4 linked regions of the Xenopus tropicalis genome follow. The protein of the gene in region 3 interacts with the protein of the main gene of each other region in a biochemical or structural test. Links are inferred from orthologs where the notes say so. Each region holds a gene or a part of one and is shown on either strand. Other genes may lie near its edges.

The links.
Region 1: of the proteins of yap1 (region 3) and josd2, one has a biochemical effect on the other in vitro, tested with the Homo sapiens proteins (2 studies listed by BioGRID). The link is inferred for Xenopus tropicalis from reciprocal best matches to the Homo sapiens genes YAP1 and JOSD2.
Region 2: the proteins of yap1 (region 3) and trerf1 interact in a test that uses a peptide from one of them, tested with the Homo sapiens proteins (2 studies listed by BioGRID and IntAct, with this or other methods). The link is inferred for Xenopus tropicalis from reciprocal best matches to the Homo sapiens genes YAP1 and TRERF1.
Region 4: the proteins of yap1 (region 3) and ttyh3 interact in a test that uses a peptide from one of them, tested with the Homo sapiens proteins (2 studies listed by BioGRID and IntAct, with this or other methods). The link is inferred for Xenopus tropicalis from reciprocal best matches to the Homo sapiens genes YAP1 and TTYH3.

The regions. Positions count from the first base shown.
Region 1 is NC_030680.2:128,295,889-128,304,214, forward strand, and holds the start of josd2 (josephin-2), read right to left. Parts: upstream 4,169-8,326; 5' UTR 4,127-4,168; coding exon 4,008-4,126; intron 2,940-4,007; coding exon 2,814-2,939; intron 1-2,813. UniProt on the Homo sapiens protein: Cleaves 'Lys-63'-linked poly-ubiquitin chains, and with lesser efficiency 'Lys-48'-linked poly-ubiquitin chains (in vitro). May act as a deubiquitinating enzyme.
Region 2 is NC_030681.2:15,168,429-15,176,658, forward strand, and holds the start of trerf1 (transcriptional-regulating factor 1), read right to left. Parts: upstream 4,169-8,230; 5' UTR 3,793-4,168; intron 1-3,792.
Region 3 is NC_030678.2:162,271,182-162,278,893, forward strand, and holds part of yap1 (transcriptional coactivator YAP1), read right to left. Parts: intron 4,923-7,712; coding exon 4,809-4,922; intron 1-4,808. UniProt on the Homo sapiens protein: Transcriptional regulator with dual roles as a coactivator and corepressor. Critical downstream regulatory target in the Hippo signaling pathway, crucial for organ size control and tumor suppression by restricting proliferation and promoting apoptosis.
Region 4 is NC_030685.2:31,669,092-31,677,273, forward strand, and holds the start of ttyh3 (protein tweety homolog 3), read right to left. Parts: upstream 4,169-8,182; 5' UTR 3,675-4,168; coding exon 3,549-3,674; intron 1-3,548. UniProt on the Homo sapiens protein: Calcium-independent, swelling-dependent volume-regulated anion channel (VRAC-swell) which plays a pivotal role in the process of regulatory volume decrease (RVD) in the brain through the efflux of anions like chloride and organic osmolytes like glutamate.

The DNA of each region.
Region 1 (8,326 bases), on a different chromosome or scaffold from region 3:
CTCACTGTTCTAAGGCACAAAAAAAAAATAAAATGCAAAAACTAAAATCTAGTTCTAACACGTTACGCTCATAGATGGGGCCTCCCTGTCTCACTCAGCTCTGCACTGGAAGGAAACTCCATCTCTCAGGGGAGGCACAAAGTGAAAAAAATGGAAGCCATCCGCTGCAGGTCTCTGTGCTCCTTGTCCATCATTCAAACTACATAGGGGCCCTGTACTTACTAATTTGTGAGTCACTCGAGCCATTTTGGGGTCCTGTACTTACCTCCTGCTTTATGGCAAGCAGTAGGGACAGAGCTGCTGTATGCCTGCTAACTTGACATTCGGCATCTCAAGCCAGATTTTCTATCTGTTACAAGGTGAAAAGCACAGCCAGACCCTGGGCAGATTTACTTTCTAAGTGAGCACTAGGGGGCACACTTTTAATGCACTACCAAAGGCAGCAGCTTAGATAAGCCTGGGGTTTGTTTATAAAGAGCTCCTTGCCGCAAATTGTCTCCAAGCATTGGAAGAAACCAGGAAGGCACAACCCTAATACAGGGGCTAAGGAAGCTGAAATGAATGCTTGCATTCAAAGCCAACAAGAAGACTTAGACATTTGTTGCAATTATAGAAAATATTGTATAATATAATGACTAGACTTTTTAGATGCATCTCACTAGCGAACACACACACAGCAATGGTGTCACTTTTGTGTAGCATATGTCTTGCCATAGCACTCTATAGTAATAGGGACTGGCTGAGTGAGACAAGTGAGCTTAGAGACAAGGAAAGGTTGAATCACCAGGAGGGAAAGTTGTTAAGAACCCATCAGTGTTCCTAGTCTCTCACTTATGACCCCAGCCTGGGGAAACCTCTTCTGCTGGGAAAGCAGAAGAGTATAGCAGCACAGTGCTCAGAGGAAAAGACCCAGGCATCTTTGGAACAAGGGAAGCGTTGGCCCTTGTTCTAAAGTAAGTGACTAGAAAGACAGGACCCCCCCCCCCCCCCACTAATTGTAACTGTTTCTTTTTACATTTTGTGATTTCCCTGCACTTTGTATGTGGTATTTCTATGGATCATTTCACATATTAATCAAGAGGTAAGAAAGTCAACCTCATGTGCCATCCTCTTTGGCAAATGTAATTTATTTTTTCAGGGATGTGAGCCATAAGTGTCTACATTATACAATCATTTTTCTGCCCTTAACCCACCAGTGACATTACAAATGACAGGGTGAGAAGTGCAAAATACTAAAAATGGAGGCATTTGTTATTCTAAAGCAGTGATCCCCAACCAGTGGCTCGAGGGAAAAAATGTTGCTCACCAACCCCTTGGATGTTGCTCTCAGTGCCCCCAAACCAGGTAGTTATTTTTGAATTCCTGACTTGGTGGAAAGTTTTGGTTGAATAAAAACAAAAATTTACTACCAAATAAATCCTCCTGTAAGCTAATAGTGTGTATAGAGGCTGCCTAATAGCCAATCTTAGCCCTTATTTGGCACCTCCATGAACTTTTATGGTGCTTGTGTTGCTCTCCAAGTCTTTTTACATTTAACTGTGGCTGACATGTAAGAAAGCTTGGGGACCCCTGTCCTAAAGGAACACTGACATGTTCCTGTGAAAATCCATAGGACTGTGTCAGTATTGTGGTGCAAAAATCTAGCAAGCCAAATGCCCCACAAAGCAGGTCTGAACTGGGATTCAGAATTAGTCCTGGCATTTCAAGTACACAGAGGCTCGAACAGCCCCCCACCAGCCCAATAAATAGTGACTGTCTATGGCATCTTACAGCAGCCCCTCTGGCATTTGCCAGAACCCACATATTGTCAGTCCAGTCCTGCCACAAAGCCACCCCAGCTCAGGGGCACCTACCTAAGCACAGCAAAAGGATCCTCAGCAGTTGTGTCAATCACACTGACCTGGGGTGGTGTGATCCTTCCATAGGCTGGAGTGCTGTTTTCATCTGTAATTAGCCTATGGAAGGATTGAGCCACCTCCTGTGTCTCCCTTTGCTCTCTGTCCCCTGCGTAATGAACAGGTATCACTGAGTTGGGGTGGCTTTGGGGGACTTATGTCTATACAGACTTTCATGCCACAACTATTTAGTATTACTGACATGGTCCTAAATTTTCATAGGGACCTGTCAGTATTTCTTTAAAGGGGTTGTCCACCTTTGAGTAAATTTTTAGCATAGAATGCTATTCTAAGACAATCTGCAATTGGTCTTCATTCTTTATTATTTGTATTTTTATTTTTTTTTAGTTATTTTACTTTTTGTTCTGCAGCTCTCCACTTTGTATTTCAGCAGCTATCTGGTTTCTAGGGTACAAATTACCTTAGCAACCAGGAAGTGGTTTGAATGAGAGACTGAAACGTGAATAGAAGAGAACCTGAATAGAAAGATAAGATATAAAATGTAACAATAAAAATAAAATGTAAGCCTCAGAGCAGTAATTATATGGATGCAGGGGTCAGTGACTCCATTTGAAAGCTGTTAAGAGTCTAAAGAGGATGCAAAATAATTAAAAAACTATAAAAAAAAATAAATAATGAAGACCAACTGAAAAGCTGTAGTCATTTTATAACATACAACAAAAGTTGGCGAACAACCCCTTTTAATGAAGTCTGTTGCCGCCACTCACCTTAATACACACTTGTAAAATGTTGTAGTAGGCTGTACAGGAAGTTTTAGTGTATACCATTGCAACTCCCTGACATAAGTATACAAGCTAAGCAACAAAAGTAGCCACGTGTCACTTCATTACCAGTAGACAGTCATTTTATTCAGTTTTCATGCTTTTAGTTCCAATATGGCCAACATGTTACTCTTACCTCCGTTTGTCCCACCAAACCGCTGCATAGTCCATAGTTTGAAGAGCTGCCATAATGACGTTGACATCGTAATTGCCGGTACCCAGAAGACTGCGGTGAGGGTTAATCATAGAGTTTGGAGCGAGTCTGAGACACAGAGAAAAGAATGTGTAAATAGGTAGCTAAGCGATTAATTACAGAGCCGGCTATATTTAATATCTGAGTCACGTTTATACATGCCTTATACCATAGTGGGAGGAACCATCTCAGGCAGTGTGCTATTCAGGCTAAGTACATACTAATTATTAATCACCACTCTGAGAGCTTTGTACTCCAGGGGCCCTTGGCTTCCATGCATTACTGTTGTTTATTTATCGAGCAGCAGCTGTGTAATGGGTAACAGTAGGATCACTGTGTCAGGCAGAGACAAGAGCTTTTAAGGCACCCACTTGGCAGAGCTGGGAATGCAAGACAAGCAATACTCTCTCCCCATACAGGATTGTTTTGCATTTAACTCTTGGCAGATGAACTATTAAGAGTGGCCTATGTGCCATCACATTCATATCTCTCGTATCCAAACTGCACCCCTCCAACTGACTTTAAACTACATTTCCCAGAATTCTGTGCTGCAAGTATGACCCCTCATTGGACAGTTATAATAAGGGTATAAGCTAGCCATGAATCAGCACCATAATTATTATTAACACACATATATATTTATTCTCTAAGATATTACCCAGTAATTTAAAGCAGGTAGGGGTATTGGCGTACCATGACTGCGCTGCGTCCCCTCCCTGTAAATCTATGGGGGGGGGCTTAGCATGAATCGCCAGGGGGCAACTAAGTTTAAAGTGCAAGGGGCAAGGGGAACTAATAAACAGCAAACACCAATCTGGGTCTGCTCTATGGCAGCTGCTGAATACAACAATCACACAGATTCCATACAGTGACTGGCCAGTACAAGAGGTAAAATGAGCCCTGATCAACAGAGCTAACAATCTAAACAGTTCAAGTGCCCCATGTTCCCAGGTACCTTAGAGCCACACACACCAAGCCACAGCATCATAGTGTCCCTTTACTGGATGAGGGCTATACATTACTCTTCTCACCATAACCTATAACCCCACTGTATCTCCCCCGCCAGAACAGTACAATGATGATGTATTTACACAGCCTATCTCCTATACATTCCAGCATGCCCCATTGGTCTCTCACCCCCGGCAGATCTCCTCAGCCCTCTGGTGACTGAACTCCGGTTTCTGCAGAAGGTTATTGAGGGCATGGACAGCGCACAGCTCCAGCCGCTGCCGCTCATGGAACACCGACTCGGTCATAACAATACCGGAAGGTCTGACAGGCAGATACTGCTGCTGCCGCTGCACATTGTCCTACTAGCTGGTCATGTGACAGGGAGGACGGAGTCACGTGGTTGCCTGTAAAAAGGGGCGGTGCGCATAGAGATGGGAGGAGTTATACGATTTGTGGAGAAGTTTTTGTGTGGCAGAGATGTAAAGAGAACCTGGAGTCCCCCCTACACCCACGCCTGTGACCGGAGGAGTTCCCCCCTACACCCACGCCTGTGACCGGAGGAGTTCCCCCTGCAGCCGTTTTTAGGGCAGCGCAAAGGCTCAAATACAGGTTCTAGTTTAAGACAGACAGCTACATTGAGTGTGCTGTGAAACTGAGGTGGGCGGTAATAGGGGGTTCGGGCAGACTCCGCCCTCTCAGCGTGTTCATTGGTGATGCAGCCTGCCAATTACCGGGGGTCATCGGGGGCGGTGCAACAGAAAGGCTGGTGTGTGGAAAGTAATACATTGGCTGTACTGGGGCAGAATCTGTTGTAAGAATCTGGGGCTGAACTGGCAGTTAGTGGGTTCTGGCAAATGCCAGATGGGCTGCTGTAAGGTGCCACAGACAGTCACTATTTATTGGGCTGGGGGGCTGTTTGTGCCTCTGGGTACTGGGAATGCCAGGGGGCTGTAAGGTGCCACAGACAGTCACTATTTATTGGGGGGGGGGGGGGGGCTGTTTGGGCCTCTGTGTATGACCCTGCAGATAATACAACAAAGATATGACAAAAGTTTCATCACACGTCATTCCCCATGGATGGAGGAATCATTAGGATGTTCCATTACTGGGTGGCAAGTAAATATTCCCAGGTTATGGGCACTTTTAGAAACTACAGAGTAGCTTTACTTGCCCTCTGTACCCTGCACTTCCAGTTGAATAGAAGCCCAAATTACTTGCTGTGGTTCTGAAGAATTCCAAACCTAAACTAATATTCCTATAAGGACAAATAATTCCCTGGGACAAGTATCTCTAACGAGCACATTCTGCCCATAATACATATCCGCAAATTCACATTTAGTTCATTTTCCCTTATTACCGATTTGAAAAACTTATTAGTACAGCCATGAATCAATACAATTCAAACATCCCATCAACTGCATTCAAATCTTTCTCAACCCTTTCTCCTTGTAGATTGTAAGCTCTTTTGGGCAGGGCTCTCTTCACCTCTTGTATTGGTTATTGATTGCTTTATATGTTACTCTGTATGTCCAATGTATGAAACCCACTTATTGTACAGCGCTGCGGAATATGTTGGCGCTTTATAAATAAATTTAGGTACTGAAACTTAACAAATGCCTAAAGTTGTGTAGTAGCATGGCTGGCAGAAACCTTTTGATTTATTAATGCAAGTTATTCATTCTGTAATAAACAGTTTAAAGGAGAAGGAAAGGCTAATAAAGAGTTAATCTCAAGGTGCAGGCATACCGTCAGTTCTCTCAATAGTGCCCTTAAGTCTCCCCATATTTCTCCTGTTCAGATGAAAGAAAGTTCCCATAATGCCTTGCTCCTGCACCAAGACCGGTGTACATGCTCAGTTAGTAAGACTATGAGTCAGCTTCCTGTGGATTGGCTCAGATCCACATTCCTAAGGGGGGGAGTAAGTTCTTAGCATTCTTGAGGGAGGGGGGAGCAGGAGAGAGCTGTGTGTCTCTGGCACAGGAAAACAAACAGACAAGAAATCCTGTGTTTCTTTTGATAGAGGACTCTCTGAGCACTCTTCTGTGAGTGCTTATGGCTGTATTTACTTAGACCTTTCTGATAAAGCTTACTTAGTTTTTACCTTTCTTTCTCCTTAAAATGAGATGTTCACCTTAAGTGAAAAACGGGCCACGCTGTTTCAAAATATGCAGACTTTTCATGATTTTTAATGTAATAATATGGTTTGGAACAGTTACGTAAGCCCGACCCCCTGTTCTGCTGATCTGGCTGACTACTTTAAAGCTCAAAACAAATTCCTGCCTTCAGCCTTCATCTGCCAAATCCCACAGTTCCCTGCACATGTGATGTCAATAAGGAAAGAACAAACATAGCGCAATGCATTGTGGGTTATGTGGTTCCTGCATGCTGTCTGTATGCTGTGGAGAAGTTGTTACAATTTGTAATATCATGTTTTAGTCCCTCCTCCCCTGCCAGGATTTGAAATGATGCAGAAAGAAAAGAACTGTTCTGCAGTTGGATTTCAGCACCTAAAAGTGGTATTTATTCCATAAACAGGTTACAGTAATAGGTATATTAAAGGGTTTGAGTCTTGTGTTAACAAATTTTTGTTTAAAAGCCAGATTTCTACTTTAAAAAAATTGCTCATTACTTTTATTTCCATGTAATTTGAAAATATACCACACTGTCATGATTCTGTCATGAGTTTTATGGTATACTTTTTATTCGTAAATTACACTGTTTACATAGCAAATAATTCACTCTACCATTTAAATTTTATTCTTCAACCAAGAATTTTTTTTTACTTTATTTTTTATTATGTTCAACTTTTTAAAGACCATGTATTTGCTTATTACATGTATTCATTTGTTTTCCAAATATAATAAAGATTAGTTGTCTTAAACCGCATTTGTCTATTTTTCATTTGTGATATCTATGCGGCCTAATTGGCCAAACTAATAACAGTGTGGGGGGGGGGGGGTGGAAAAGAGAGGGGAAAGGGGGGAAGGGAGGGAGGAGATTAAATGCAGTTGAGTATACTTTTTAAACAGGTATTAAAGAATATGTACCTTTTCTTGTCTACAAATGTATTTTTTAGCTGTAATATAGGTGTGTAGGCTCCATCTCGGTGCATTGAGCCTGAGTCTGAGCTTTCAGAAGGAGCCAGCGCTACACATTAGAACTGCTTTCAGGTAACCTATTGTTTCTCCTACTCCCATGTAACTGGAGGAGTCCCAAGCTGGACTTGGATTTCTTACTATTGGGTGATCCTAAATAGGAAATTGCCATTTTACTAATTAGGGGCCACCCCCCTGGGTTCACAGGATTCACAGTGCACATAAACAAACCTGCACCAGGCACAAGGGCAACTAAGCTGGTAAAGGGTATGGAAAGTCTCAGTTATGGGGAAAGACTGGCCAAGTTGGGTCTGTTTGCACTGGAGAAGAGGGTGCTTATGGGGAGATATAATTACTGTATAAATATATAAGGGGATGATAAAACAACTCTCTAAAGCTTCATTTACCAGTAGGTCCTAACAACGGACACGAGGGCACCCACTCCGTTTAGAAGAAGGCAGGTTCCGTTTAAATATTTGGAAAGGATTTTTTACTGTGAGAGCTGTGAAGTTCTGGAATTCCCTCCTAAATCAGTCGTACTGGCTGATACATTATATAACTTTAAAGGAGAAGGAAAGGTAAGAACTAAGTAAGCTTTATCAGAAAGGTCTATGTAAATACAGCCATAAGCACTCACAGAAACACTGCACTGACTTCTCTGTAAAAAGATTAGTTGTGTCTGTTGTCCTCTGCCAGAGACACGCAGCTCTCTGCTTCCTGCTCTCTCCTGCTCCCCCCTCCCTCAAGAATGCTAAGAACTCACTCCCCCGCCCTTAGGAATGTGGATCTGAGCCAATCAGCAGGAAGCTGACTCATAGTCTAACTAACTGAGCATGTTCACTTGGTCCCGGTGTCTGTGCAGGAGTCTGTGTCAGTGTTTTTTCTTCCTGTTTGGCTTCAGATCTTCTGAACAGGAGAAATATGGGGAGACTTAAGGGCACTATTGAGACAACTGAAGGTATGCCTGCAGCTTGAGATTAACTCTTTACTAGCCTTTCCTTCTCCTTTAAGGAGGGGCTGGATGGATTCTTAGTAAGTGAGGGAATACAGGGTTATGGGAGATAGCTCTCAGTACAAGTGAGGGAATACAGGGGTATGGGAGATAGCTCTCAGTACAAGTGAGGGAATACAGGGGTAGGGGAGATAGCTCTCAGTACAAGTGAGGGAATACAGGGGTATGGGAGATAGCTCTCAGTACAAGTGAGGGAATACAGGGGTAGGGGGGATAGCTCTCAGTACAAGTGAGGGAATACAGGGGTAGGGGGGATAGCTCTCAGTACAAGTGAGGGAATACAGGGTTATGGGAGATAGCTCTCAGTACAAGTTGATCCAGGGACTGGTCCAATTGCCATCTTGGAGTCAGGAAGGATTTTTTCCCCTCTGCGGCAAATTAGAGAGGCTTCAGATGGG
Region 2 (8,230 bases), on a different chromosome or scaffold from region 3:
GATCTCTTATCCGGAAAACCCCAGGTCCCAAGCATTCTGCATAACAGGTCCCATACCTGTACTTATCACATGATGCCATTTTCATTAACAAAGAAAGAATTTGTTGAAAAAATAAAAAAAAAACTGATGAGACTTTCAGTTGAAAACCTCTGCCCAAATAATCTGTATTTAGGGATTAAGAAAACAAAACACACACCTGAAACAGCCAGCAATTGCCTTAAACAGCCTTTCCCTAAATGAGTTAAAATCTAAATTCTTGTGTAACCAGTATGGCAGCCGTCCTGCTTCCAGCAATTTTAATTAGAAATATACTAATAGTGTTTGTCAAAATGGCACAGAACAATTATACACAGGTGACACTCTTCAAACATATAGACAATCTCTTGTATTTGTGCAACCTGACAGGATTGGCCTGTGTATGTTGCTGTTTTTCTGTCTTTGGAGAAAAACAAACAATGGAACGTTGAAAAATTTGAAAATAAACTGCATATATGAACTTGCAGGCTTTATTTTGTCATCCAGACACGGGCCAATAGGATTTCAGTAACATCCTTAAATATACGTTGCTATGTTTACCGACTGAAAGAACACACAGACACAATGGTAAATACAGCCAAATCCCTGGAGAATTCTGAGTTCTTTCAGTTACCCATATTTTCACTCATCTTCCCTTATACAGGTATGGGATTCCTTATCCGGAAACCCTTTATCCAGAAAGTTCAGAATTACGGAAACGCCATCTGCCATAGACTCCATTATAAGCAAATAATTCAAATGTTTAAAAATGATTCCTGTACTTGATCCCAACTAAGATATAATTACCCCTTATTGGGGGCAGAACAGTCCTATTGGGTTTATTTCATGGTTAAATGATTCCCTTTTCTCTGTAATAATAAAACAGTACCTGTACTTGATCCCAACTAAGATATAATTACCCCTTATTGGGGGCAGATCAGCCCTATTGGGTTTATTTCATGGTTAAATGATTTTCTTTTCTCTGTAATAATAAAACAGTACCTGAACTTGATCCCAACTAAGATATAATTACCCCTTATTGGGGGCAGAACAATCCTATTGGGTTTATTTCATGGTTAAATGATTCCCTTTTCTCTGTAATAATAAAACAGTACCTGTACTTGATCCCAACTAAGGTATAATTACCCCTTATTGGGGGCAGATCAGCCCTATTGGGTTTATTTCATGGTTAAATGATTTTCTTTTCTCTGTAATAATAAAACAGTACCTGTACTTGATCCCAACTAAGATATAATTACCCCTTATTGGGGGCAGAACAGTCCTATTGGGTTTATTTAATGGTTAAATGATTCCCTTTTCTCTGTAATAATAAAACAGTACCTGTACTTGATCCCAACTAAGATATAATTAATCCTTATTGGGGGCAGATCAATCCTATTGGGTTTATTTAATATTTAAATGATTTTTAGCAGACTTAAGTTATGGAGATCCAAATTACGGAAAGATCCATTATCTGGAAAACCCCAGGTCCCGAGCATTCTGGATAACAGGTCCCATACCTGTACTATGACAAGCAGTTTCATTAAAATATTCTGAAAGTTTAGGGGACCCTAAAATAAATTTACTTAGTTACCCAGTTACAACATCAAATCAAATGTGAAAACAATTCATCAGTATTTCATTTAAACATCAGTAATATCCAACCTGGGGTCCTCCAGCTCTTGCTGACAACAGAAAGCACTGCATTCAAACAGATGTTGGATTTTTCACTGAATCATAAAGTCTGTTATCTGCTGTAATAATCTATGTTCCCTATGACAGCAACTCTTTCTATAATAGAAAGAGTGTTGCGCACACAGGGGCTTGATACAAAAGAAAAAGGTTTTATTGAAAAAATTCCAACGTTTCGAGTTTGAAACGTTGAAATTTTTCATTAAAAATGTTTTATTTTGTATCAAGCCCCTGTGTGCGCGGCACTCTTTCTATTATATTTTTGGTTTTGACCTGCACCAAGGGCATTTGGACTTGTATAGGGTGTGCTCCTCTCTGTGTACTATATATATATATATAATGTACAAGGTATTGCATTCAACGGCACTTGGGCAGAACAGGACTGAGTGCCCCTTCCAGTGGATTATATATATTATATACAGGTATCAGACCCCTTATCTGGAAACCCATTATTTAGAAAGTTCCGAATTACGGAAAGGCCATCTCCTATAGACTCCATTTCAATCAAATAATTCACATTTTTAAAAATGATTTCCTTTTTCTCTCCAATAATTAAACAGCAGCTTGTACTTGATCCCAACTAAAATCTAGTTAATCCTTACTGGAGCCAAAACAATTCTATTGTGTTTAATTACTGTTTAAATAATTCTATTAGCAGACTTAAGGTAAAAGATCAGAATTATGGAAAGACCCCTTATGCGGAAAACCCCAGGGCCCGAGCATTCTGGATAACGGGTCCTATACCTGTACAAACATTTATATACATTAAATACATACATTCTAAAGACATTAGCCAGGTGCTGACCAACCATCCTATGAGGATCGAAATGCGTTGATGGGCACTGAATAAAGGACTATCTTTTGAAGTTTGATTGCTGTGAGTGCTTTCTGTGGACGTATTATATATATATATAATTGTAAGCTCTACGGGGCAGGGACCTCCTTCCCACTGTGTCTCATACCACATGGCACTTATATATATATATATATATATATATATATATATTTACTCTATTTATTTATTATATCACTTGTCCTCCCTGTGTGTAATTTTGTATTCTGTAAGATTGTACAGCGCTGCGTACACTTGTGGCGCTTTATAAATAAAGTTATACATACATATATATATACCCCTGTTTCCCCGAAAATAGGACATCCTCCGAAAGTAAGGCACCCCCCTGATTTTTCACCCCCCTCGAAAAATAAGGCACCCCCCGAAAATAAGACCTAGTGCATATTTTGTAGCTTAAAAAAATATAAGACAGTGTCTTATTTTGGGGAAACAGGGTGTATATATATATATAATATGAGAGTCCACGCAACAGCACCACACTCCAAAGACTGCTGTCCCTGTGCACAGAATAACTTGAAAAAGGTCCCAAAAGGGACTGAAACGTCGGTTGTACATGCAATTATAATACACTAATATTTATCTGAACCACAAGACCCTTGGTGCTGGTTGTGTTTGATTCAGTATATATATATATATATAATGCCACAGTATGTGTTAGAATGGGCATGACCTGGCAAGCACTGCAACATAAAAGTCTTCCTCCACCCAAAAACTGTTCTTTGCATAATGAAAAAGAATGCAGTTCCAGACACAATTACGACAGTCGCAAAGTCAACTGAAAGCGTGCAATTTACTGCAACTGAAAGCAGAAGTCGCAACCAACAGTGCAGGGAACAGAAGTGGGCAGATACTGCTTTTGATAGAAAATGACATTTTGTACAATTGACTTTGAAACCACTTGACAACGTTTACTGAATGTATATTGGAAAGCGACTGAGAATGACATTTTGTACGGGTTCTTTGCCAGGCGGTTTGCTGCAGGCTGACAGTCGCTCGGTCGCACAAGCACAGCTGCAGCGAAAGCTGATCCCTGAGTGCAACAAGTGCAGTGACAGCCGCAGGCGGGGAAGCCGACCTCTGAGTGCAACAAGCGCAGTGACAGCCCCAGCTGCGACCGGCTGCAGGCCACTTGCACTGCGGGACACAGCTACATGCAGCTACAGTATTAACGCACTTTTAGGAAATAAACACAGTTCAAGCATTGCAAAATCCACCAATAAAAAGGGCTCTACCTTATTTTTCTGGTGCCTTCACTTTTTCTTTCCAGTCTGGCAGTGGTCATGTTAAAAGGCGGCAGGGGGTCAGCGGGCTGAATTCTCCCAGAAAGGCGTTAGGGATTCCTCACAAGCCGTGGGGCTGGCACAGCAGCAGGGATTGGCCATGCACAAGCCTCCCTCTGCCGAGCAAACTCGAAACCAAAGGCAAGTTCCTGAAGTTGCAAATGTAAGGCGGACAGTCATTGGTGTTTTTGGGGTTCGCTCTTCATTGGTTACTGTACTGGCTCCCACGATTGGCCTCTGTTACTTTACAGCCCTGTTTGCATTTTTGTTTTTTTTCATTCTGTCAGTTTGCGATAAAGTTGTCAGATGATTGGTGGAAGGGATCTCTCTGGCTGCTTTGGCTTCACTATACTGTGTGGGAGGGGTGCTATCAGGAACTGCACGAAAGGAAAGGATATCCCCGGCCCCGCCCACTCGGACCAGTCACTAGAATGGGGGCTGTGAGGGGGCTGCTCAGGAGTAAATACAGGGAACCGCGCCGCTAGCAATCTTATGGGAGTGTATACAGGCACTGTATTGAAGGGAATGTGGGTATTAGCCTGGGGGAGGTGCCTTGAAACTTACACTGTCAGGCAACGTTGCATTATATGAAACTAGCACTTCTATTGTAGTGTCGCCCACTGTGACCTATGGCATTTATACTTATTTGTGTCTGTAAGTTCCCATATAGATTGTAAGCTCTACGGGGCAGGGACCTCCATCCTCTTGTGTGTTTGGCTCTTACCCTCCCATATAGATTGTAAGCTCTACGGGGCAGGGACCTCCATCCTCTTGTGTGTTTGGCTCTTACCCTCCCATATAGATTGTAAGCTCTACGGGGCAGGGACCTCCATCCTCTTGTGTCTTTGGCTCTTACCCTCCCATATAGATTGTAAGCTCTACGGGGCAGGGACCTCCATCCTCTTGTGCCTTTGATTCTTACCCTCCCATATAGATTGTAAGCTCTACGGGGCAGGGACCTCCATCTTCTTGTGTCTTTGACTCTTACCCTCCCATATAGATTGTAAGCTCTACGGGGCAGGGACCTCCATCCTCTTGTGCCTTTGACTCTTACCCTCCCATATAGATTGTAAGCTCTACGGGGCAGGGACCTCCATCCTCTTGTGTCTTTGACTCTTACCCTCCCATATAGATTGTAAGCTCTACGGGGCAGGGACCTCCATCCTCTTGTGTCTTTGGCTCTTACCCTCCCATATAGATTGTAAGCTCTACGGGGCAGGGACCTCCATCCTCTTGTGTCTTTGGCTCTTACCCTCCCATATAGATTGTAAGCTCTACGGGGCAGGGACCTCCATCCTCTTGTGTCTTTGGCTCTTACCCTCCCATATAGATTGTAAGCTCTACGGGGCAGGGACCTCCATCCTCTTGTGTCTTTGGCTCTTACCCTCCCATATAGATTGTAAGCTCTACAGGGCAGGGACCTCCATCCTCTTGTGCCTTTGACTCTTACCCTCCCATATAGATTGTAAGCTCTACGGGGCAGGGACCTCCATCCTCTTGTGCCTTTGACTCTTACCCTCCCATATAGATTGTAAGCTCTACGGGGCAGGGACCTCCATCCTCTTGTGTCTTTGACTCTTACCCCCCCATATAGATTGTAAGCTCTACGGGGCAGGGACCTCCATCCTCTTGTGTCTTTGGCTCTTACCCTCCCATATAGATTGTAAGCTCTACGGGGCAGGGACCTCCATCCTCTTGTGTCTTTGGCTCTTACCCTCCCATATAGATTGTAAGCTCTACGGGGCAGGGACCTCCATCCTCTTGTGTCTTTGACTCTTACCCTCCCATATAGATTGTAAGCTCTACGGGGCAGGGACCTCCATCCTCTTGTGTCTTTGGCTCTTACCCTCCCATATAGATTGTAAGCTCTACGGGGCAGGGACCTCCATCCTCTTGTGCCTTTGGCTCTTACCCTCCCATATAGATTGTAAGCTCTACGGGGCAGGGACCTCCATCCTCTTATGTCTTTGGCTCTTACCCTCCCATATAGATTGTAAGCTCTACAGGGCAGGGACCTCCATCCTCTTGTGTCTTTGGCTCTTACCCTCCCATATAGATTGTAAGCTCTACGGGGCAGGGACCTCCATCCTCTTGTGTCTTTGGCTCTTACCCTCCCATATAGATTGTAAGCTCTACGGGGCAGGGACCTCCATCCTCTTGTGTCTTTGGCTCTTACCCTCCCATATAGATTGTAAGCTCTACGGGGCAGGGACCTCCATCCTCTTATGTCTTTGGCTCTTACCCTCCCATATAGATTGTAAGCTCTACAGGGCAGGGACCTCCATCCTCTTGTGTCTTTGGCTCTTAACTTATTGTGTTGGGCTGAAACCCCACAGACTGTTCTTCCCCTTCAGCTGATTCTTTCGCTTCTTCTTCTTAGCGCCCCCCATTTTCTAAACACTCCTCCTCCTACAATTTTAGAGGTACAACACCCAAACTCCCCACACATCTTCGCCCTATAGCGGAGCAGGTTGCTTGTGCTTTTCTAAGTGATCCCGCCCCCTGTCTTTTTGTGGCGCCGCTCCGAACCCCCCAATTTTCCCATTGACTTTGACAGGGAAGATATTCAAACTGCTGCCACACTTACAGATTTGAAGCTACACCCGACAAACTTGAATAACATAATAATGGGGTCACCCCGAATGAAACAGGGACATTTGTTGGATGACCCCCAAAGTAGGAGGGGCCAGCAACAGCCAATCAAATTTCACCCACTGACTTTTATGGGGAAATTGCTGCCACACTTACAGCTTTGAGGCTACACTCCCCAAACTTGAATCACACAGTCATGGGCTCAGCCTGAATGCAAATATGATGATTGTTGGATGCCCAAAAGTGGGCGGGGCTGTGAACAGCCAATCAGATTTTACCTATTAACTTGGTGGAAATCCAACCTGCTGCCATTCTCACAGTAATAACGCCGGGGTCCCCAAACTTTGCAGGGTTAGGCACCAGGTAACTGCAAATCAAGGTTAGAAAAGTGGGCTGAGCCACCAACAGCCAATCAGATTTTACCTATTGACTTTCAATGGGGAAATCCAACCAGTATTAATCCCAGGGTCCCCAAACTTTTCCCAGTTGGTCACTAGGGGACTGCAGTTTTAGTTTTGTAAAGTGGGTGGAGCCACCAACAGCCAGTCAGATTTCACCTATTGATTTTTATTGATTTGATGCCAGGGCTCCCAAACTTTGCAAAGTCAGTCACTGGGTGACTACGCATTCAAGTTTTTTTGTTTTTTTTTTTAAATATGGGCAGAGCCACCAACAGCCAATCAGATTTGACCTATTGACTTTCAATGGGGAAATTCAACCTGCTGCCATTCTCGCAGTATTAACCCCAGGGTCCCCAAACTTTTCTCAGTTTGTCACTAGGGGACTCCTGTTTTAGTTTTGAAAAAGTGGCCAGAGCCACCAACAGCCAATCAGATTTCAACGTCCTGCTATTCTCACAGTATTAACACCGGGGTCACTAGGGGACTGCATTTTCAGGTTTTAAAAAGTGGGTGGAGCCACCAACAGCCAATCAGACTTCAACTATTGACTTTTTTTTTGGTTTAAATTTAAAATGCTGCCTTTCTCACACTATTTATGTCAGGGTTCCCAAACTTTGCACAGTCAGTCACTGGCTGACTACATATTCCGGGTTAGAACAAGTGGGCGGAGCCACCAACAGCCAATCCATTTCCACCCATTAGATTTCATTGGTTTATATTTAAACTAATGCCGTTATTTAAATATAAATTCCAGGGTTGTTAAACTTTCATTAGTCACTGGGTATTTGCCGTTCAAAGTTAGAAAAAAAAGTGGGCGGAGCCACCAACAGCCAATCACATTTCACCTATTTACTTTCCATGGTGAAGTGTAAAATGCTGTCAGTCCCACAATTTTTATGCCTGAGTCCCCAAACTTTGCAAAGTTGGTCACTGGGTGACTGCAGTTCAAATATAGGAAAAGTGGGTTGGGCCGCTAACAGCCAATCAGATTTCATCCAATGAATTTTATTGGTTTAAATATAAAATGCTGTGATTCTCACACTATTTATGCCAGGGTGCCCACTGTTTGTCACTGGGTGACTTCGACTCAAGGTTAGAAAAAGTGGGCACACCCACCAACCACCAATCACAATTTACTTATTGACTTTTTTTGGTTTAAATTTAAACTGCTGCCGTTTTTTAACTATTAATCTCAGGGTCCCTAAACTTTGCAGAGTTAGTCACTGGGTAACTGCAGTTCCAGGTAAGAAAAAGTGGGCAGAGCCACCAACCGCCAATCAGACATCACTCGTTGACTTTCAGTGGGAAAATTTAAATTGCTGCCATTCAGACACTATTAAAACCAGGGTCCCCAAACTTTGCACAGTGGTTTACCTATATAATAGTGGTCCAATGTT
Region 3 (7,712 bases):
CCTTGGCTGAGTAAAGTTGCCCATACATATCCCCTCCAGACTGGCCCAAGTATGGGGCCCACTGACAGCAGGTCTCTAGGTCAGGCAGGTTTATGGGGTCCATGTAATGGCTCTCCATAGACCTCACTGTATTACCCCTGTATTGTTGCCCAGTGTGCCGCTAGATTTTGCCCAGTAGGCTGTTAATTGTTCTGCTCCATAGGAAAGTATCTGACCGTTAGAGTGACCATTTCTGTGCACATAACAAATTACCCTCAATCATTAATATGTAGGGAGCCCCCTAATTTAAGAGTCACGAGTAAGATTTGCTGGTTTCGAGCACCGGAGTCTGAGGCCGAGGCAGCTAAGACCTCACAAGCAGACAAACAACAAATGCTTTGTCCCATCCAGGGGGATCAGAAAATGGGGGTAGGGCAAGATTACGTTTCCAAAATAAAGACAAGTTTCCAATTAAAGCTTACCGTAAACAATCTGCCCTTTTATATTTAAGCACATTTCTGCCCAGCAATGATAATTAACCTTCAACAAACAGCAATTAAGGGCAAGACAAAATGAGACGCTCGGGGGAGAGAACCGATGATCACATAAAGCCAAGCCTCTTATTTAAGGTAATTTGACTTCTTTTTTCCTTTTCAGCCCTAAATGTTCCCGGGTTACCCCTCCCACAAACAGGGCAAACAGTGGGACGTCAGGCAGAAAATAAAAGAACACTGCAGTCATTTCTCCATTGTCTCTACTTCCATTTATATGGCTGTAAATCAGTGTTCTGGCACCTTGCCTGCTGGGGCCCAACCAGCTTCTGTGATAAAATATCACCTTTACCACTACCCAATGGGACTATTGCTAAAGATACAGTTTAAATGGAAAATGCACCCAGCATATAAACATTTTATGTTTGATTTTTTTTTTTTTATTTAAGGTGACAAATCATTGCAAGGAATCATGCATTTTCCTTAAGGCAGAGATTTCCGACCTTTTTTAGTCTAAGCCCCTTCTTGGCGATCCAAGTGTCCCATTAGCTCATACCAAGGTTACAAATATAGGAACATTGGGGTATTGTTCTCATTTCTTGTTCCAAGAAAACAAGTTTTCACCCCAAATCCTAAGGCAGCCGCACACAAAAATCTGCTTGTTTGGCATGGATCTTTCCACAGATATGTCCACCTAAGGTAAGCGATATTGGAGTAATGAAATTACAACAACTTAACAGGAATAGGACCCATCTTAGTGGGGACTGCATTAATGAGCAGAATCAATTAGGCCAGAAACTGTTTGGGTAAGCCCATGAGGGGATCCCTATACACGGGCAGATAAGCTGCCAAATTAGTCTGAAGAGCCTGAATCAGCAGCTCAAATCGACCCATGAATGGCCACCTTTATCCTAACTGACCTTTTAGGTGTATCTAGGTGAGAAAAGACATACTCCCCAAACCTCATCCCAAGTGGCCTTCAGACCGAGCCCCCTCCCACTGCTCCAAGCTCCTCCAGAAGAGCCAAATTGGGAAGCAACGGCACATAAGGCAAATCCAAACTTTTTATTGACATCCTGTAGCTCAATGGAAAGGAGACAAAACACTCAAATTGTACCTTGAAATCACTTGAATGGACATCACCTGAAAACGTTGATCTTGATTATCGTCCAAAAATGGTAACTTGCAAAACACATCTGTCCATCTTGTAATCCTTAAAAGACACTGCTGGACAGTGGTCTGCACTGGATATCACTGATTGATATCACTGATGAGCAATGACTGCCCGCACTCATTGCCAAGGGCAAACCAAAGTTTCTAACATCACTAATGGGTTGGCGCCTTTTAGATTTCTTAAGGTGGCCATATACGTAATAATTATGATCTTTCCTGCAACCACTGGTTCAGGGCTGAACCGTCAATGATGTTCAGGGCTGAATCATCAGAAACAATAAGAATTCTACCCCTATCTGACGATTCAGCCCTAAAGGCAGATTTTGTCCCACCTGATATCCAAGGCTTTTGTCTCATCGATCCAACATACAAGCACTGAATATGGTACAAAACCTCCTTGTATGATAATATCAGTGAGTGCATGGCCAGCTTAATTCTGCTAACCTGCCAAGATCACTTCTCTTTAGTAGATAGTTCCAGTAATGAACGAACAGAACATTTGATATAGAATTTAATATATAGAATATATATAGAATAGAATATATTACTTATTCAGAGTAAACCTTGGTTATGGACAAATAGGAATTTAGGCCGGTTTCACTTGCACAAACACAACAAATACCACTCATACTTTAAGATACTGAAACTCTGACATTCAAGGACCCAATAAACAATTGTCCTTTCATAGAGAGCACATCACATTGCCGAGCAGGGTCACAGAATCGCACTATTCAAAACTTAGCAGAACGTCAGTACCCCAAACCTCTTATAATACAGAATGCAACCACTCCGTGGGTCACATGTAGCAATATGGCTGAACTGCCTGACTGCACAACCGCTGCTCTGTGTGGGGTGTCCTTGGGGAAAAGCTTTGACACGTGTGTCTGTAATACTATGGGAGCTAAGTAAATCGTTGGACTGGAAATGATACTCACAGAGCTATTTCTACATATCTTTGGGTTCCGGTGCTACCTGTCTATCGGCATATATTTGATTTAGATTACATTTCACTTCAATTGTATTCAGTTTCAGCACATTGTGCACCAAAATATTTTTGTGGTGTGGTAGTTGCTATGGTGACTGGCTTTGTTGCCCTTTATTTGGGGTGGATGAATAAGGGTGTTTCTGTTTGTGCTGATGTAGGGCTAAGTTCAAACCAAAAGACTGATTATACAATAAACATTTTTCTGTGTTTTTATAGCCAGGGCTGAAGTACACCGCGTTGGCCTAGTCTAGAGAACCAACGCTCCCACAATTAGAGTAAAACTAATGGGAAACAACACTGTCTCTGTAAAGGTGGCCGTACGCGGGCAGATTAAAGCTGCCGATCCTAGTCCTTTAGGGTAAGAACCCACAACGCAAGTTAGTCACCTGCAATAGATCGCTGCTATCATGGGTGAGTAACTGCTCCAAAAAGGCTTTCCACCTGGCCCTTCCCATGGCTTTGGTAATCCCAGTTGCGCTAAGGTTCCTCCTGCAGGCAACTTTACGCGACTTTCGAAAATGAAGCGATGCAAAAGGCTTTCCATCGGTGACTTCTATTGTTGCCAGTAGAAAGCATTTTCGAAACAGTTACTCACTTGCAATAGCAGCGATCTATCGTGGGTTCTTACCCTTAGACCGATTCGACAGCTTACCTGCTGTGTATGGGGCCCTCCGACAGGTCTCCCGAACAGATAAATGGCCGGCTTGATTCTCCTGTTAGATCGAGGACATTGGCTCTTTGATGTGGTCCTCTGACTGCTCGTATCCCCTTCATTATAATGCGATTGTTTGGCCCTAGGGCCAAACGACTGCATTAGCATGATATTGCCCTCCCAAGGTGGGCATATTGGGGAATAGATCCGCTCGCTTTACCAAACAAGTGGATAGTTTCTGGCCACCTTTAGTCTTATATCCTAACATCTGCAAAACTTATCCTCAACTGAGACCCAAAGTCTGATAAAAGGACACCGATCACATAAAAAGAACAGATGGGGGAAAAATAATATTTTTGGAAGAAATCCAACCCAGCGATTGCTATGCATCCTACACCACAAACATGCACATGATGAGGGAGCTGGGGCACTTGTTAATATGCACTTACAGTGGTGCTTGAAAGCTTGTGAACCTCTTAAAAATTCTCTATATTTTTATAAGTACATATAACATAACAGCTGTCTAACCTGGGAGTTCCCTAGGGTGCTTCTCTATTGTTTTTCCAATGGGTAAAGAGTTATGGGATACCTAGAAAGGACTTTGCAATTCCAATATGTCCAACCTCTAAACCAATGAATGGACCACAATGGAGATCTATGCAAGCCAGTTGGGAAAAGGATCACATCTATAAGCAGATGCATTCTTCATCTTATGGGATTTTGTACCCTGTCTGGTATTGGTCAGCCAGGCTAATGCAGACTGCAGGGGGCTTAACTGGTCTGTATATGGCCGACAATACATAAGGGAATCCATTCTGCATATGTACACACTGGTGAAATAAGCATATGTGCAATTTCTACTATATTAGTAGGTGCCAAAGTGTCACCGGTGCAACAGTGCTTCCTATTTAGCTTGAGAAATCAGCAAAATGGCACTTTCTCCCCCATCTTTTCAAAATGGCTGTTTTTGTAAATATTCCACTGAAAACATTACACAATATACCCTTGGGCTAGCACAGTCAGATCATCAACTTGGAATTACAGATTCCCTAGCCCCCAGGAACTTTGCAAGCCCCAGCAGCTCACAATTATTAACCAATTTCTTTATGGCCATGGGAATGGGCATAACAGATTGTCAGGCAACCCATGGAAGCATTATATTGTATTATTATCCCCTTATTATAGTGGGAAAAGCCTAAAACCATGGCGCTGTACAACAGACGGGTAAATGCATCACCCACACTACATATTTATACAGGGGGTAAAGGTAAAGAGGGCTATCTAAAAGGTAACAGAAAGTGTGCAAAGTGTATCATTCCTTCTGATTCCTACAAAGGCAGTATTATAAGGGGTCATTTGGTGCCATAGGACAACCAGGCATGACCAAATGGATAGATACCAGTATGGTATGGTCTCCTTTCTATTGTACTGTTTTGTGGGCTAAAAAGCTTTAAGCTTAGGGGAAACTATCTTATCATGTATAAAAGTGATGTTACTGTATGTATTGAAGAAGTGAAAAGGTCCTTACCGAAACGTGGGTCTAATCGTGGGTCTAGCCAAGATGTGGTTTTGTTCTTATGATTTATGAAGTATGTTTCCCCTTCTGGAGTCAGTGCCTGTTCCCACCCGTCTGGCAGTGGACCTATAACACAAAAAATAATAGATCTTCAGTAGCGTGCCATTTTCAAAGAGGAAAGATGGCAATCTTGCCGAAAGCAATCCATTCCAGCTAATTTCAGATGCCAATATGAATTTAGACAAGAGACGGGCAGTTACGATGAAGGAAAATCGAGAATGGATAAGCTATAAAGCCAGTGGAACACACATCTACTCCAGTGGAAAAACAGAGTGCCACCCACTAGCCTAATATAATGGTTAGCGAGGTAAGTTGGGAGGTCCCTTGAGTTGGTGGCACAGTGCTTTGATGAGGCAAAGTCCCCTCATAGCATTTGGTGAGAGGTGAGAATGTTGGGTCTAGTCCTTCATTTGGCACTTGCGCAGTAACGCTCTACTTGATGGCCCTACACTCTGTGTGATGTCAGGCATGCAGTGAATGAAGGACAAAGCGGGTTTGGTGAGGAGACATTTGCAGGAAAGAAACACTGGCAGCCTGAACATTAGGAACCAAAAGAAAAAAGCTTTCAAGTACTCATATCCCATTTCTATTGAAAACATACCTTATTTTAGAGTTCTGTTTGTGGGTGGTGCGCCAAGTAGACTAAACGTGACCATACACTGAGAGATACGCTAGTTTGCCAAGGTCACCAAACGAGCAGATCTTTCCACCTTGAGATGGGCGATATCGAATTGATCTGACCAGTTGGCCCTTAGGCAAACCAATCAGATCACACTGCCAGGATACAGGCTGTTGGGGAAAGGACCACATCAACGCACTGATGCACTCCTTGCCTCGAGGTGATTTTTAAACCTGCCCGATCAACATCTGGCCAATTTTTGTCCAGATACCAGTTGGGTAGGCCTGTCCAAGAGACATATACATGTGTAGAACTACCTTAACTTAACCTTCCCTAATAAAACATGCCAGTTCTTCCCATCAGGCCTGAAGATGAGCGGTCCCTAGCTAATTGTGCAATTGCAAGCCACGTGCAGGTCCACAACCTAGAATGAAATACTCTTTGCTTATCAATAGTTTTCATACAGTAATTCTAGGGCAGACCCCCCTAGATGGGCCCTTTGCAGTAATATGGGGAGAGGGAGCTCAGCTGGAAAGCAAGTTCAGGCAAAATCTGAGGAGAACGCTTGTTTGCTCTTCTAGATTAACCTGAAAGCCCAGCTTGGAGGTCAATTAAGGTGAGATATGGATGGAATATTTTTGTTGCACATATTCTTGGAGGTATGGCTAGAGAGCTCATACAGCAGGCTTGTTGTACTTGTTATAAACTAAGGGGGGGGGAATCAGTCCAAATTCTGAACTATAAAAAAAAAAATCTTGGCCCCAAAAAATAAAACAAACTGAGCGCTGGGTTAGGTGTTCCCACAGAAGGATAAAAGGAAGAGAACCCTTAATTACAAGCAACTTTTTCCTTTTAATTTTAACATACTTCAAATCGTCTGAAAACCAAAAGGCTTGCGCTTTATTCCACTATGGGCCATTATGAATTTGACGGCAGCCACACACGAGTGCACAAACAAATTCACTTGTACGCCAGGCAGCCAGTAACATCCCAGACACGGGTATCTGCACACTGGGCCAGTCACAACAAAAAAAATCTATTGAAATCTTCTTAACAATTTAAAATCATCTGCAAATTCTCTTATAATAATGCTGCTTAAATCACAGTAGAATTTAATTTTAAAAGTCAACCCAAAATACAATTTTTTTTCCTAATAAAAATTCTAAGCAACTTGCAAAATATACAGTCGTTACAAATTTGAAATGGTTTTCGAGTTATTTGTCTAGTTTTCGGGCATGCCATCCCACCGGCGATTTACATTCTCACTGGCGGGATGGCATTTCAGGGAGATTAGTTGCCCGCAACAAGGGAGATTTGTTGCGGGCGACTAATCTCCCCGTCTACCAGGGCCCTTAGTAGCCGTGAAAAAGTAGCTGCTACTAGTAGCTCCGTGTGTCTTCACCCTCAGGAGGGAATTGCCGCTTTCTTCACTGGAAGTGCAAATGGCTGGTGTGGCGCTGGCGTTTGGGAAAGCACAACCATAAAAAAGGGAAAGAGACAATAAATGCTCACAGATTAGTGTTTGCCTTTTTCCCCACAGAATCTATCAGCCAGTATCAGATAACTTTGTTCAGGATGGGTTATGCTTAACCGTGTTTCCATTTAGCAGATAAAGGAACTTCTGGCTTTCCCAGACCTCCAGTCAATCAGTCATTGCTTTATCTGTGCTATCAGGGGATTCCTTTGTATTCTGTGTCACTTACACACACATCAGCCATCAGCTCAGCCAACAGAAACCCATAGGCAAAACAGTCCAAAATATTCCTGATAAAAAAGCACTTTCTGGACAATGTAAGAGGGGATTAAAAGGTGGAACTATGAGGCTGATGTCAAACGGGGCTGATTCACACCAAGAATCTGTTTAGCCGAAGGCACACAGAGCAGATTTCTGTGCACGCACAAGTATGACACAATGGCTACGGGTACTTTTATGCATATAACCAAGTCAGTGCAAAGATATTTCGACAGTTTAGTATCCAAGGAGATCTCCCCGCATAAGGGTTTCATTGAGGAACAAAGCAATCAAAGCATAAATGTTTTCAGTAGCTTTAAAGAAACAGTAACACTAAAAAATAAAAGTGACTCAAAATAATATATTATGTACTATTGCCCTGCACTGGTAAAAGTGGGTGTGCTTTAGAAAGACTACTATAGTTTATATAACCAAAGCTGTTGTGTAGCCGCGGGGGCAGCCATTCAAGTTGAGAAAAAAAAAAAAAAGAGAAGGCACAGGCTCC
Region 4 (8,182 bases), on a different chromosome or scaffold from region 3:
CTAATGCCACACGTAACGTAGGCAGCATGGAAATGTTTGCCGGGGCATATGCTACCTACGCTCTGTGTGGCATTAGCCTAAGCACTTGCCAAACAGGTTAAGGGCCGGGGGCAGTTTGCAGCCCATAAATTACTTTTGTATCTGAGAAAGCACAAACAACAATAGTTTTCCACAGCCTCACATGCATGCAAAAAACGGCCTTGGGCACACAAAGGTTCCCAGAATGTCCCAATTTAGCAGCAGCAATTTTCAGATTAGGACATGCTGAATTGGCCAGTCCCCAAGGCATACACTTGCATGCAGGAGAGAAAAAGTTGGCTGTGGGGGCTCCGAATTTATATAAGGTAAAACTATTCCAATGTTCTTTGACTTTTACCAGAAAAATCTTATGTCATTAACCTAAGGCACAACTAAAGACTCATTAGACATTTATGGCTTTGGACCTGCTGATAATTTTGATTTAACATGTTAAAATAAAATCCCACATTGCTCATGGGGGTACAAGCGTATTTTTAATGCGTGCCAGGCCATAAGAGTTGCCAAGGTTGCATATCTAAATGCAGAAGAGGCAGGCCAATCAGAGCCCATGACTTTACAAGAATTGTTTACCAAAAGGGTATAAGGCTTTTTTCTTATCCAAGAGGGTATAAAGTTCATTTATGTTGCATTTATATTTCCTGAAATTAACATTTAAGTATGAGGTCACCATTTCTTGTTCGTCAAACATATGAATAGTTATTCATTGGTGTTTTTGCTGCCCTTGTGATTAGGTATTCTCCTTATGCTACAAAGTAACACAGATTCCCTGTATGCTACACAGTAACATAACTATGTCCCCCTGCCTTAGCACAGGCAAGCCAGTTGCAGTTGCCAATTCCCTTGATTACATTATTGAATTTGTCTGGTGTCTGGTTCTGGTTATACAGCAGGGCTGAACTCGAAATCTCCGGATTCTGGCAAATGCCAGAGGGGCTGCTGTAAGATGCTATAGACAGTCACTATTTATTGTGCTGGTGGGGGTTGTTTGGGCCTCTGTGTATTTGAAATGCCAGGGCCTAGTCTGAATCCTAGTGTGGACCTACACTATACAGTTATACAGTATACTTATTGTACAGCGCTGCGGAATATGTTGGCGCTTTGTAAATAAATGTTATTAATAATAATACAGTATAAAAACAGTGGTAGTAAGGGCTTGCACCTTTTTTAGCACAGGATGCAATACCAATGCTATGTATAGGTTTGTACTTGATGTTTATTTAGTTTTGTCCTGCACATAAATGAATAAAAAGCAATAATACAGGAAATTTCTATACAGATTTTTCTATTCTTTGTAGCTTACTCCCTTTACTGCAATAGATTTTGTATACATAAACGCTATAGCTGCTGCAACACAAGTCCACACTGGCACTCAAGTTGGTTAAACTGCTGCTTTCTGGAACAAAATGTATTTAAAACACTTTTTAAACACCGAACACTTGACTTCAAACGAAAGCTGAGATCATAAAAGTCATACTAGCCGAAAAAGGAAAATTGCATGGCACACAAATGGGACTACACTCCAATAATCAATAACAAACCATGGGGAATATGCCAACACAGTAAAATGTGATGGTCACACAAATTCAGACAAGCAACACACACAATTACAAAATAAAGTGTCCCATACAAAACAGGACCTCAAACACATTGTTTGGCAGTAGAGAAGAGATAAGACACAATTCCTTGATATTACAGTATGCAAGTCCACATTGTAAAGTCTGTAAACAAATGTATCACACCACATTTACCAAACCCAGTAATTTTATGGTTTGTGAACAAAAGTGCTAAGTGCTTTGGCATGTCTCGTGTCCACACAATGCCTGGCCTTGCTCTGCTACCATATAATTACCTTGATAATGATTTGTGCATGTCAGGTAAAGGGAAAAAAATCACTTTTCATAAAATCTGACTCTACAGATTTGTTACTTGTTTATCCGCAAAGTGTTAAATGGGGCTGAAATTTACTGCACGGCTTCTTATGTGTCACTGCTGGATAATCAGAATTCCACAAGCCATTTGTTGCCAGAAATATGTAGAAGCAGACAGCAGAGCAGTGAGGTGCAGGCCCCAAGTGGCACATAATTTAGGGCACTACTCATTTCCAAAGGATAGAATGGCCTGCTTCTATTAACCCTTTAGATTTAGGCGCAGAAAGGAATCACAGGAAGGAACAAACGTAACACACAGCTGTAAATTGCCACACAAATGTAGCAACTGTGAACTGTAGTTTCTAAGGCAAAAACAAAAAATGGCTAAAGGCTTCATATGAGCAATCCAGGAATTGTGAACGGGAGGCACAGGATAAGCAAGGGCAGCCTTCTAGGATTCAGGAATCCAGGCTGCAAACAAGTACAAGGGTGGCCATTTTTCCACACAAATGTAACAGCTTTATTTTGCAGTTCCAGGGTACAGAAAAAAAATTAAAAAAGAAGGGCTACACAACATATAGTATGAGGAAATGCAGTATATGTGACTGACACAAAGGGTAAGGCTGGAATCTTTAATTGTAAAAAGAAGCTTTTCTAAACAACAGCTATTTATATTAGATTTGGCTCAGGCATTTGCAGAAAATGTCTAACCATAAGCCCTCTTAGCTGTCTATGAACTACAACTCCCAGAATCCTTCATTAGCCTACAGGTAAGGTCAAGAAATAGTGGAAGTTACAAATACACTACACCTCCAGGGCCACATGCTGGCTATGCTTGATAAGGGCAGCACCTTTGCAGTCCGGGACTTTCTTCCTATGTCTCTGTGGGTTTCCGCTCCTTATAAAACTAACCATAGGGTGTGTGAATGTGATAGGGTGCTTAGATTATAAGATCCACTTGTGTATTTCACTGATGGGAAATGTGTATAATCTCTATAAATGGCTGCAGAATAGGTCAGCACTATATAAAGAATAATAATAAAAATGTAGGGCATTCCCAGCGGCTGCTAACGTGCTGGAGACAAGCACAGCAATGCATCCTCAGGCTCAAGCAGAAGATTTATTTACATGGCAGACACAATATCACCATACAGGGAAGTTCCTGGTATTGCAGCCCAATGTAACATTATCACTTCATTTCATGGCCACATTTCAGCCCAGGATAGCACAGGAACTTAGCCACATTTATACAGATCATCTTGAGTGTTGGGTAACGTCATTACATTACAGCAGTCCACAGCAAAATGATTACGCTCTGCAACACCTGCTGAACTACAACTCACACAATTCTTTTACAGCTACTGCCAAATCAACAGCTTGAGGTCCCCAGAGTACAAGTAAACAGAAACTGTTCATTGTAAATAAGAAAGCCAAGCGGAATACCTTTGCTGTTTGCATTTAAGCATTTGTAACCACCAGTAGCAAGTCATATGGGACCATAATTGGTTTCACTAAAGTCTAGAGAATTTATTTGCAGCATATACTTTTCGGTAGAACACTCATATTACTAATGAACAGCAATAGTAGATTTGGCAGACACCCCCATACCAAGGTGCCACATGAGATCCCCCGTTGCCTCACCTGCTGGTAGTCAGGGTCCTGTGGGCGGAAATCCCCAGTCAGACTCTCCCACTGAAGGTTGAGGTGGGGGAGCCGGTGCAGCAGGTTGACCCACCACGGTGGGCTGTAGCTGATGGCAGCGGCCATGTCTGTAGGAAGTAGCACGACTCAGAGCCGGGGCCTGCCAGCCATGGGGTACCCGAAGATGGAGGGAGGGGGTCAGCTGTCTCAGGCTCTCTTCCCCTCCTCCATTTCCTATTCCCAGCAACCTAAGAGCTCTGCGCTCCTACACCGCCCCCTGCTCATAGCCAGCAACAAGGGCCTGGAGCCGGCACTGCCACTGGAAGCCCTTCTTCAGCCAGTCCCTGGCACTGCACCCGAGCTCCGGCTCTTTGTTCGCCTGAGACTCGATGTGCCTCGGCTCCTCCTATTCCAGCCCGGTCCTTCCCTTCTTCCCTTTCATTTCTCCTCCTCCATTGTCTGGGGCAGATACTTTCCCTCTGCTAGTCCCGCCCCATGTAATAACCTGAGCTCGTCCTTCTCATTCCCTGTGTGGGAATCTAGTCCCTCCAGCCTGATGAGTGGTTTCCAGATTTCTCTCTATCTTATCTCACCCTGCCTCTTTCCCATGTAGGCAAGGATAGGCAGCCTATCTGTCACAGAACTACAGCTCCCATCAGCCCCCACTACCTTCTTAGCTATGCAGAATGTGCATTTAAAGGGACAGTAACACCAAAAAAAAAATTAAAGTTTAATTAAATTAAACTGTTGCCCTGCACTAGTACAACTGGTGTGTTTGCCTCAGAAAGACTACTATGGTTTATATCAGTGTTTTTCAACCTTTTTTGGGCAAAGGCACACTTGTTTCATGAAAAAAATCACGAGGCACACCACCATTAGAAAATGTTAAAAAATTTAACTCTGTGCCCAGCAGCAGTGCCCCCCTAGTACATTGGTGCCCAGCAGCAGTGCCCCCCTAGTACATTGGTGCCCAGCAGCAGTGCCCCCCTAGTACATTGGTGCCCAGCAGCAGTGCCCCCCTAGTACATTGGTGCCCAGCAGCATTGGTGCCCAGCAGCAGTGCCCCCCTAGTACATTGGTGCCCAGCAGCAGTGCCCCCCTAGTACATTGGTGCCAAGAGCAGTGCCCCCCTAGTACATTGGTGCCCAGCAGCAGTGCCCCCCTAGTACATTGGTGCCAAGAGCAGTGCCCCCCTAGTACATTGGTGCCCTGCCTACGGCACACCAGGCAACATCTCACTAGTGTGCCGCGGAACAGTGGTTGAAAAACGCTGGTTTATATAAACAAAGCTGCTGTGTAACCATGGGGGCAGCCATTTCAGAGGCGAAAAGACACAGGTTACATAGCAGATAACAGATAAAACACTAAGGGGCACATTTACCAATCCACAAATGTCTGAAAAGCATTCGAATGCGTTTTTTTCCGTAATGATCGGTATTTTCGAGCGCTCAATACAAAAAAGTCGCGACAATTCACGAAAGTCATCATGGCTATGAAAAAGTTGCGACAATTCGCGCAAGTCGTAACGGCTACTAAAAAGTCGCGACGGTGACAAAAAATTGCAAAAAATACTAAAAAGTCGCAAAATGTTTGTTTCCAATCCGATTTTTTCCCATTCGGAATCGTGGATTAGTAAATCAGCCCCTAAAAAAAAGCTTATCCGTTATCTGCTATGTAACCTGTGCCTTTTCTCCCTTTTCCATGGCTACACAGCAGCCTATTTATATAAACTATAGTAGTGTAACTGCAGCCAAAACAATGTTTACCAGTGCAGGGCAACAGTACATTATATTTTAACTACATAAAACACAATTTTTTGGTGTTACTGTTCCTTTAATAGGCATCTGCTTTTAAAGGGGTATGGCGCTGGTGCCATTGCAAGAGAGATGATAAATTAGAAATGGATGGCTGGTTTTAGGGTAGGGTAGTGCAGAGGGAGCTTTTGCCCTGTGCCCATAGCCTGATGCAAATCCCTTGGTTACAAAATGTGGTTAGTGAAAGTACAAGGGCATATTGTTATTAAGATGTTTGCGTTTCTTAGTATTATTCCAGCCGGTTGTTATGGATCTACAACTTCCAGCACTCCAACAAACAGCCAAAGATGATTTTTTATGTTTTCACTGACGGACTGTGGTCATATTATAATGATTATTATTCTTTATCAGTCCTTGCCCCAGTGGAGCTTACAATCTAAGGTCCCAGTCTTACACACAATATCATTGTTATATCAGGAGGCAGTTAACTTTCCTCTGTGTGTGACCAGTGTCGGACTGGGGCCCACAAGAGAACTTCCCCCCAGGGGCCCACCAAATACACCTTCCACCACAACCTCTCACAGTTTTTTCACTTCCTCCAATCCCTCACTGTGTACCAGGGTGAGAATGGGTGTCTCAACAAAATATGGCTAACATTTTTAGGCTCTTTGCAAAGGAAAATGGGTAATGAGCTTATTAACCCCAGACATGACAGTTAGATCACTGCAGACAATGAGCACATTAACCCCAGACATGCCAGTAAGGTAACAGCAGAAAAGGGATAAATAAAAAGCATTACCTCCCCCACAGAAACAGAATACAACAAATATCTAGTATAAATAAATCTAAAGCAACTGGACTTGTTAGGTAATCATTGAAGACGTTTCACTACTCATCCGAGCAGCTTCTTCAGTTCAACTGACTGGTATGGGAAGTCCTCATATGTTACCTCTCTGAAGAGTTACATAGTGCCATTGTAATTGGGTTAGTGGAAGAGTACATATGCTGAGGACTTCCCATACCAGTCAGTTGAATTGAAGAAGCTGCTCGGATGAGTAGTGAAACGTCTTCAATGATTACCTAACAAGTCCAGTTGCTTTAGATTTATTTATACTTGATATACCATGACCTGGATGAATGAAAATCTTCATAGACAGAATACAACAAATTTTTCCTCTCTCTTAGTCTTCCAATGCTACTTGCCTAGTTCTGCCTCCTGTATAGCTGAATCTTCTTCCAAAAAAATGTAAATGCATTCAACAGCGAAATACATGATCATCCTGATTTTTTTTCAATGCATTCCAAAAGAAAAAACAGTTTCATGCGGGCAACAGGTAGTCAGCAGGGCCCTCCACAGGAGTGGGCAGGACCAATGGAATTTTTTCCTGTTTCCCAGTGGGACAGTCCAACTCTAAACAGGATGTCTCAACCCTTTCTTCTTGTAGATTGTAAGCTCTTTTGGGCAGGGCCCTCTTCACCTCTTGTATCGGTTATTGATTGCTTTATATGTTACTCTGTATGTCCAGTGTATGAAACCCACTTATTGTACAGCGCTGCGGAATATGTTGGCGCTTTATAAATGTTAATAATAATAAAGATGAATGTGGCAAATTGGTTAGATGTGTTTAAGAGCTTTGAGAAGACAGTCATTCTTTTTAGTGAGGTGTTAGAGCTCAGCTGCATGGTGGATCTCTAAATGTTGCATAGTAGTTAAATTTTTGTGTCACATGGGCAATATTTGGTATCTGTTACAGCTCTTTCCTTAATTGTGGGAATTAGGACACAGGGGGAGTGACAAGAGACAAGCCTCAGTCACTTCTAAAGTACTGAGCAGACTGCAATTGGAGGCAGATAGAAAGCAGGAAATGGCAGCTATGTCAGTCTGATTTGTGGGCTCATTCCCAGGGCCAGATGGGGAGTAAAAATCAACCCTGGCAAAAAAAAATAAAAGCAGTCTACACATAAACACATGTTGCTCTTGTACTCAGCATCACTTATATATGGGGGTAGAACTGCAATAGATAATCTGCATTAAAGAGTTCCTTTTGGGAAGCTGTAAATTCATTACAACAACTACAAAAAATATGTGATAAACACAAGCACATGGTTTCAAGGAACCACTACTTGGCTACTTGGTGTAGGGGGCCCAATGAGGACCTAATTAATAAGCAATTTCAATATATCTTGGTTAAATAAGTCTACTTACCAATATTTTAGGACCCTAAATTGAATTTGCTGTGGGGCCACGTAACATCTAGTTACATCACTGAATCCAGCTCTGGTTGGGTGGACAAATTTAATCTCTGACTAGTTGCTATGGGTTACTGCCCAGGTGCAAACATGGTCAGTGTTGGTCCTTTGCCTGCTGCGCTTTTCAGTAGTCCAGCAGGGCTGAGCCAAACCTATTAAAATCTCTCCCACTGCCCTCAATTTAGACACCTCACGATGTAGGTTAGTCATTCCATACCTCCCCTTCTGTGAACAACAATCAGACAGTATTAGTGCCACAAAAAACATTTAGAGGAGTCCAAAAGTAATAAAAGCACAACAATATATTTTGTATCTTTTCAAATCAGTGCTATGATTGGCACTATGCAAGCCCCATATAGGCTACCAGCCTGTGGCTTCTGACTGAATTTACACTGGTGTCTTTGTGTCTCCAACACTTGTGTATTCCAACAGAACAAATTCATGCTCTGTCCCCAGTTAAGCAGAGCATCTGTGAGCCTGTTGCCCAGACGGTGAGCAAAATGTTGCTTGTGAGCCATTGGTAATGGATCTTTGTTCTCTAGACCAGAGATGTCCATATTGATGCCTGTTTGACAGATGTGGCCCTCCAAAAGATTATTATAGCTCCCAGCATGACCAGCATTCCCATAG